2 linked regions of the Neurospora crassa OR74A genome follow. The protein of the gene in region 2 interacts with the protein of the main gene of each other region in a biochemical or structural test. Links are inferred from orthologs where the notes say so. Each region holds a gene or a part of one and is shown on either strand. Other genes may lie near its edges. The genes, in order: NCU01301 and NCU09380.

Region 1 (3,324 bases), on a different chromosome or scaffold from region 2:
ACATCACCTACCTGAACGAGTTTGATCGTGAAGTGCAGACCGTAACCTGGGGTTACCCCACCGAGGACGCCTACTACCGCGATGCTTCCTCTTGTGACGCTGTCTTAGGCATCAGGATTCCCTTTATGGCCCTCTCTGCCGCTGATGATCCGGTGAGCATATCTTCTCCTTTTCCCTCAAGAGTGCAGTTTGAAACCCCCATGAGTATAGAGCTGACAAATTACTAGATCGCTGTTGAGGAGGCCATTCCCTACCAAGAGATCAAGCAGAACCCCTACACGGTACTTTGCCTCACGTCTCTCGGCGGACATCTTTCATGGTTCGAACTTGGTGGCGGACGATGGCATACTCGTCCTGTAAGTTTCTTTTTGCCTCACTTTCCGGTAACTTTTTGCTGATTTGTTGTCTAGATCTGCAACTTCCTGAACAAGATGGCTTTCGATATTGACTTGGACGCCATCAAGCCGGATGCTTGTGACAAGTTCGATAGCCAGTTCAGAACTCACTTCGACCCTGTGCAGCGAAAGTTGCAGATTCTCGATGTGGATCAATAGATGGTGGTGGAATGAACACTTGAAAAGAACGAAGACTGTACATAGATTAGCTATAGAGATGGGTCCATCGATTGGGCCTAAAGGGTCTAGACGCGCTTCAAGGCACATTGGGGCTGCACATAGACTTAGATTCGCGCTTTCGACTTGGATACAGGTTCGAACGTACGTTCATTGATGGCTTATGCGAGCCACGAACTACACCATCCTGACGGTTTCACCTAATAACATCTACCGACTCATGAGAAAAAGAGGCTGGACCAAGGCTGGCGTGCCCAATTGGTATCTTTAATTTCCACACACAAAATCAGTCAGAACTGTTCCCCCAGCCAAGCCATCCTACCCGCCGCCAGACTTTGATTGATATAAACGCCCAGACGCCATACATGCGAAGAAAAAATGCTTGGTGTAGGTATTACACGACAAACTTCCACCCTTCCTGTCTTCATTCTCCCAGCCCATTCCCAGGAGGGACCTTCAAAGCTCCCAGCATCCTTGCTTGATTATTTATTCGGGAGCAGCGAAGGATACCGACTTCTTCTTTTTCGACTTAACGGCTTTCGTGCCCGCAGACGAGAACTCCTTGACATCTCTGGAGTCATCGTCGTCGTCGCCCTTGCTACCGCCCGATTGCTTGCTGCGCTTACGCTTCTTGCGCAGCGAGTCCTTAGTCTCTTCGAGTCTGGCCTTGCGCTCAGCCTCCTTCTTCTCGGCTTCAGCGCGTCTCGCCTCGCGGATCTCCTCCATTTGTCGCGCCTTGATCATCTTGGACTCGATCTGGCCCTCCTTTTCTGCTTGTACGATGGCTAGGATAGTGGCCATGCTCTCCTGTACAAAGGGGGAAAACATGTCAGTTACTTGATGCTTTCCGGTCTTGAAACCTAGCAAGAAAACAAAAAACCAATATGACCCCAGACGCTAACGAAAGACAGCTTACCTTGTCATCCACAAACACCTTGCCCTTCTTCTTTCCCTTTGGCTTGGTCACACCAACGGGGGTGATCATGTTGAGTTCCGGAATCGCAAGCTCCTTTTCGCTGTAGGTCTTCTTCTTCTTCTTCCTGGCGATAAGCTCCTGGATGTTCGGTCGGCCCTTGCTGGCAGTCACGAGAGTGTGAGCTTTGCCCTTCGGCTTTCCCTTGGACTTGAGCACTCCATCGTTCCTCGACCTCTCCGCATCTTTGCTGCCCTTGATGCCGGATTTGTTCGCAGCGTGCTTGTTCTTTATCGTTTTTGTCGGCGCCATTGTGAGTTGTGGTTGATTCGTTGATAAGGTCGTAAGAAATCAACGATAGATGAAATGGTGGTTCGGGATATGGATGGGTGGATGGAGTACGAATACTCTCGAATGTATCCTGTACGCTGTCGCTTCAGTTCGGTCGACTTCTGGGGAAAATTTTGGGACCGGAATTGGTCCCTGCCTTATCTTATCGCGGTTAATCCAAGGTACCTCTAGAGCTTGTGCATATAGCACTGTATCAACGCCTGCTGAGCGCGGTTACGGGGCAGTGGGGTCTGTCAGCTCGCCGTGGGGCTGCCTTGAAATCTCTAATTGGCAGCTGGGGATCGGCAGGCGAGCAGGAAACTCTAGTTTCCTTCTAGTGTAAGCGCGGGGTTGGCAGCACTAGTGGAGGTACCTATTCCATATCGATTGCCTATCGGTGCGTTCCCTCACTGGTGGCACTCCGAAATCGCCAAAATTTCCAAGATCACCTTTATTGTCGCCATCCTTACATCGCAATTGATCACACTGCCGTGGTGATATCCCAAGAGTCTACAGTCCCCAGAAGTCTCAGACGCCCTATTCAGACAAAATGAGCACCGAACAGCCCGCGCCCCGCTGGGCCGCCTTTGCACGCGACACCAACGAGACCAAGATCCAGATCGCACTCAACCTTGATGGCGGCGCATTCCCTCCCGAGACCGACGCCCGCTTGAACGTCAGTATCGCCGACGGCCATGCCACTCAGGCTAGCAAATCGCAAACTATCAGCGTCAATACCGGCATTGGTTTCCTTGACCACATGCTCCATGCGCTTGCCAAGCATGCCGGCTGGAGTCTTGCGCTTGCTTGCAAGGGCGACCTTCACAGTTAGTAGACACACTTGGCTTGGGCGCAGAAGTCCTCGTGGAACAACATCCAGAACTCTGAATTGACTTTGTCCCTCTCATAGTCGACGACCACCATACCGCCGAAGACGTCTGCATCGCTCTTGGTTACGCCTTTGCCAAGGCTCTCGGCACACCCACCGGCCTCGCGCGCTTCGGATCCGCATACTGCCCTCTCGACGAGGCCCTCAGCCGTGCCGTCGTCGATCTGTCGAACCGTCCCTTTGCCGTTGTCGACCTCGGTCTTAAGCGCGAGAAGATTGGCGATCTCAGCACCGAGATGATCCCCCACTGTATCCATAGCTTTGCCGGGGCTGCCCGCATTACCGTGCACGTCGACTGCCTCCGCGGCGACAACGACCACCACAGAGCTGAGAGCGCATTCAAGGCGCTTGCGGTTGCCACGAGGCAGGCTACTAGCCGGGTGGCGGGTCGCGAGGGTGAAGTTCCTAGCACCAAGGGAACGCTCAGCGTATAAGGAAGTGGGAAGGGAGTTAGTTATAGGTTTGGATATAGAAGTGCAATGATACCATGTGATGTCGTTTACCGTGGTACTTTGCGCGCATGTTCGGCTGCCATCATTTCGCTATAGCGACGGCGTAGAGTTGAAGTGAAGAATGGAAAACCAGATACATGTTGCGAATTGGCGAATGTATACCTAGGG
Region 2 (4,323 bases):
GCCTGGCGGAACGCAAACCGAGGACACCCATGGCTGGCTGCCCGTTCGGAAACCCTCGTCTTACCTACTAGAACAGCAGATATGGCAAGGCCGTCAGGCCATGGTCGCTCAGTGAGCTGGCCGTTGCACAAGGATATACGCGGCCTTGCACGGGTGTAGCCTTGAGGCAGTTCCGTTCTTCTATTCGGTTTCCAAGCGGCACTTAGCCATCAAGTGACGGTGAACCCGATATATGTCGGTCTTGGTGCCGCAGTCAAAATGTTTGCACAGCACTTTGCCTCTACACGCCATGTTGATATGGGGAGGTTGTGTCCCTCGAAAATTGTGGTACAAGTGGTTCAATGTGAAGGTCGTATGATAATAAGGCCTTCCAAGGTCCGGAATGGCGAATATAAGAAAGTTGTCTCGCTCCTGTCTGGTTAATTATGATTTACCTCACTCCAAGTAGGCCACGGCCTGTTTCAAGCGTCATATCTGAACCATCAGGGAAGTCTGGAAGCAAGCTTTTCTCTATGCAATCATATATAACATGTCCAGACTTGTAAACAGGGCTATCAGTCAACCGCAAATTACGCGGGGCCCAACAAAATCGCATTGACAAAGTAAACAACATAAAAGGGGTATTTAGTCAACCTGTGGCTACCGTCCACTTTTGTCACTATAGCCATGCGACGCCTACAATTTCCTCAACCTAGGCATCGAGCTTCTCTAAAAGGAGCTTCGAGCCCTGGTTGCCCTTGGGGGCAGAAGCATTCTTGCCCTTCTTAGCCTTTGGCTTCTCCTCCATCTCTTCCTTCTTCGACGCCGGTGCTTCAGTTGCGGCCTTGATAAGGGCCTTCTTGTTGGACTTGAGGGTCTTGAGGAGCTCCTTCTTCGATGAGAAGTCGGAAGCCTCGAGCATAGCTAGCACCGTCCAAGAGCTAGGGCCGGTGGCCCATTGTACAATGTGGTCCTTGATGACGGGATAGAGAAGGTCGGCGAAGTTGAGCGGGGGGTCGACCTTCTGGATGCTGCCTGTGGCCTTGTCAAACCGGCCGCCAGCAATCAGTGTCTTGAACATGCGGCCACCGTGAATGGTTGTCGAGATGTGAGGGGGAAGAGCTTGGTAGGCATCCTTGGGCGCCTCAGCGTTGGGATCGCCACCGGCAGTAGAGGCAATAGCCTCCAACGCGGCCTTCTTATCTCCAGTCGCCGAAAGCAAAACATCAGTAACAAACTGGCAACCGAAAGAGGTGGCCACCAGGTCGGCGGGTGAGCTTGCGATGGCCGCAAGGAGCTGAGGCGACATGGCCGTCACCAACTCCTTACGCCTAACCTCGGCGTCCTTCTTGCTGGTCTTGGTGCGGATCTCGTGAATCTCCTTCAGAATCTCCAGGTCGGTGGCGTGGCTGGCAGGGAACAACGCTTTGGACATTCCCTCAAAGAGATATAATACCGTCGTGCGCGCGTTGAGGTCGTTAGCGAGAAAGATGACGTGCTCGGCATCCTTCTCTTCATTCTTGCCAAGAATCTCGGAGAAGATCGTCTTGGACGTGAGGACAGTGTCATCAAGGAGATCGTAGGCGGCGAGGATGATCGCGTGCGCGTGATTGTCACCACTCATGAGCTGGTAGGTGTCCTTGTAGGCCTTGAGCAGCTGCTTGCGGTCCTTGGCGGTTCCGTGCGCAAGGAGCAAGCACACGAGGCGGGCGCCAGACTTGGTGAATGCCATGTTTTTGAGCAAGTCGCCGGTCTCATCCTCCTTAATAGTCTCAAAGAACTCCTTGAACTCTTCGCTTTCGGGGTTAAGGTTGAGGAAGTACTGCAACAGAGCGTCGTGGAGCATGGTGAAACCAGTCATTTTCTTTTGAATGAGGCCATTGGCCATGTCAAAAAGGTACTTCATCGCCGTTGTCCTCTTGCTGGGCTCGTCAGCCAAAATCTTGGAGAGATCGCCAGTGACCTCGGTACCCTTGGGTTGCCTAAACAGAGCAAACTCGGGACCGTACCACTCGCGAAGGAGGTTGGCCTTTTGCTCCTTGGTCGCAACACCGCGGTAGACATCGTCCAGAATCCAGGAACCCTCAGCATGGTTGATGAGCTTGCGAACTTTGCCGTAAAACTCGGGGACGATGATGTCGCGGATCTCCTTGTCGTTCTGCACCAGAAGCTTGCCGATCAGGAACTTGGCATACCTGCTCTCGGCGAGCTGCGCATAGGTTCCTTGAAGTTCCTTCGCAATCTGCCTACGCTGAACCGGGGTGGCGTACTTGACGGCGGTCTGGACGGCACGGACAGCATCGTGCTTTAGGACAAAGTCCTTGATGCGGCCAGTTATGATGGTGAACAACTCCTCAACGAGCTGTTGGCGCTCCTCCTTAGGCACATGCGACTTGCGACGGAGCTTCTCCCACAGCTTCTTGGTACGGTGCACCTCATCGGCCAGTGGCTTCGCGTTCTTGCGTTCTTGGGCGAGTTGTTTTTGCTTGGCGTGCGCCTCCCTGGAGCTTGTGCCTGCGTTGTGTTAGTCAAATAACAGAGCGAGGTTCGGTCATCATGGGGCAGATATGGTAAAGAGAGACAACGTACCAGACTTGGTCTCGTTGGAGCCATTGCCGGACTCATTGGGCGTGGATGTTGTGGTCTCTCCTGTGTGGAACTCGGCGTCTGAGCTTTCATCGGAGGATTCATTGTCTTCGGCTTCGGCCTTGATGTGTTTCTTGCCAGAAGTGGTCTTTACTGCTTTTGTACGGCCATCCTCGTTATGCTTGCCGAACGCCTTTCTCTTTCCGCCGGCAGCGGCTGCTGAAGACGACTTGGTCGCCATTGATGCTATGCGATGTCTGTGTTGCTCCGGGATATGAAGGATTGATCTAGGTATGGGGGGCTCGTGTTGACGTCGTACTGGGTGGGCGCTGGTTCAAAGGTGATGGTCGAGCAGGAATATGTGAAAGTGCAGGTATTCAGACGGGAATCCGAAACTTTGGAGTGCCCTGTATCTGAAGCCTCTGAATTGGAAATTCTGTAGCACGTTTTCCGCTGAAAATTTCTGGATCCGCATCCTGGCATCTGCCGGGCGGTGAGAAGCTTTCCGGGGTTCTGTGGTGGGGCGACTTGATCGACACTGTCTAGAACTGTCCATTGATATAACAAGGAACCCAGGCAGGACCCCCACCATAGATTGAGCCGCGCTCGCGTTTTGGAGTTTGGCCTGCACCTGACGCTACAGTCACTGCAATGCCGTCTGGTTGCCCCTCCCGTCCTCTTCTCTAGGTTAGTAAACGCCTGAAAGTCAACATTGCCAGCACCCACTTTTGGAAGGAGTCTTTCACGTTTTATGTCGTCCAGCACACTGCAAACTTGAAAGGCGCCCTACCGATTGGACATCATGGGCCGCGAAGAACAAATTGAAGAGAGGGAAGTCCTCGACTCCATCTTCCCAGATGAGATCCAAGGTTCGATTGTTCGCCCACATCGGTTGCCGTTCAGGCATGGGCCTGTCCTAACCCAAGCTCGACTCGTCTAGATATCTCCGATACCGAATACCGGATTACTATCACGCTGGACATTCCTGATGATGATGCCGAAGAAACACCAAGCATGGTACTTACCGTACGGTACCCCGAAGACTATCCCGACAAGCCACCTTTCCTTGAGCTTGCGTCCGCCCCAAATGCGCCGCCCCATCAGTACATAAACATTGCCGACGATCGGTTCCAGCTGCTCGAAGGTATCCAAGAGACAATTGAAGAGAATTTGGGGATGGCCATGATCTTTACTGTTGTGTCGGCGTTGAAGGATGCTGCGGAGCAACTGGCAGTAGAGCGGAGGGACGCTGCCATCAAGGCGCAAGAGGAGGCCGCCCTTGCCGCGGAGCGCGAAGAGAACAAGAAGTTCCAGGGCACTCCCGTCAATCGCGAAACCTTTTTGAAGTGGAGGGAGAGTTTCTTGCAGGAACTGGAAGATCAGAGAATCAAGGAGGAAGAGGAAAAGGCGGCCGAGATGAAGAAGGCAAGGATAAAGGAGCCTGTCAAGCTCACGGGCAAACAACTCTGGGAGAGGGGCTTGGCTGGGAAGGGTGATGAGGACCTGGAAGGCGATGATGACGTCCCCGTGGAAGAGGTCCAGAAACTCACGGTTTAGGACCGTTAGACAAATCGTAAGCCCTCTATCACGTTCGCCAAAATTATCTAATTCTTTGCTGTAGGCTTTAATCCGCTCTAAGTATACCTAACCCATGTGAAAACCAATCCTGAACATTACTTTTTACCCCTCTTAACCGGACTCCAGGGTATGCCATAACAAGTTTGCCTGAAAAAGACGCCTCAGCTTAAGGTGGTATGG

The links.
Region 1: the proteins of NCU09380 (region 2) and NCU01301 form a complex in vitro, tested with the Saccharomyces cerevisiae proteins (3 studies listed by BioGRID). The link is inferred for Neurospora crassa OR74A from reciprocal best matches to the Saccharomyces cerevisiae genes PUF6 and LOC1.

The regions. Positions count from the first base shown.
Region 1 is NC_026505.1:3,571,669-3,574,992, reverse strand, and holds NCU01301 (60S ribosomal subunit assembly/export protein loc-1), read right to left. Parts: upstream 1,927-3,324; 5' UTR 1,798-1,926; coding exon 1,489-1,797; intron 1,380-1,488; coding exon 1,059-1,379; 3' UTR 712-1,058; downstream 1-711. Other genes in the region: NCU01302 (hydrolase), read left to right, coding at 1-152, 228-356, 411-554; NCU01300 (imidazoleglycerol-phosphate dehydratase), read left to right, coding at 2,366-2,642, 2,726-3,138. UniProt on the Saccharomyces cerevisiae protein: Required for efficient assembly and nuclear export of the 60S ribosomal subunit. Involved in asymmetric localization of ASH1 mRNA.
Region 2 is NC_026501.1:3,514,668-3,518,990, reverse strand, and holds NCU09380 (pumilio domain-containing protein), read right to left. Parts: upstream 2,982-4,323; 5' UTR 2,807-2,981; coding exon 2,569-2,806; intron 2,494-2,568; coding exon 692-2,493; 3' UTR 466-691; downstream 1-465. Other genes in the region: NCU09381 (RWD domain-containing protein), read left to right, coding at 3,368-3,434, 3,506-4,122. UniProt on the Saccharomyces cerevisiae protein: RNA-binding protein involved in post-transcriptional regulation. Component of the ASH1 mRNP which transports the ASH1 mRNA to the distal tip of the bud, where the ASH1 protein is translated and targeted to the daughter cell nucleus.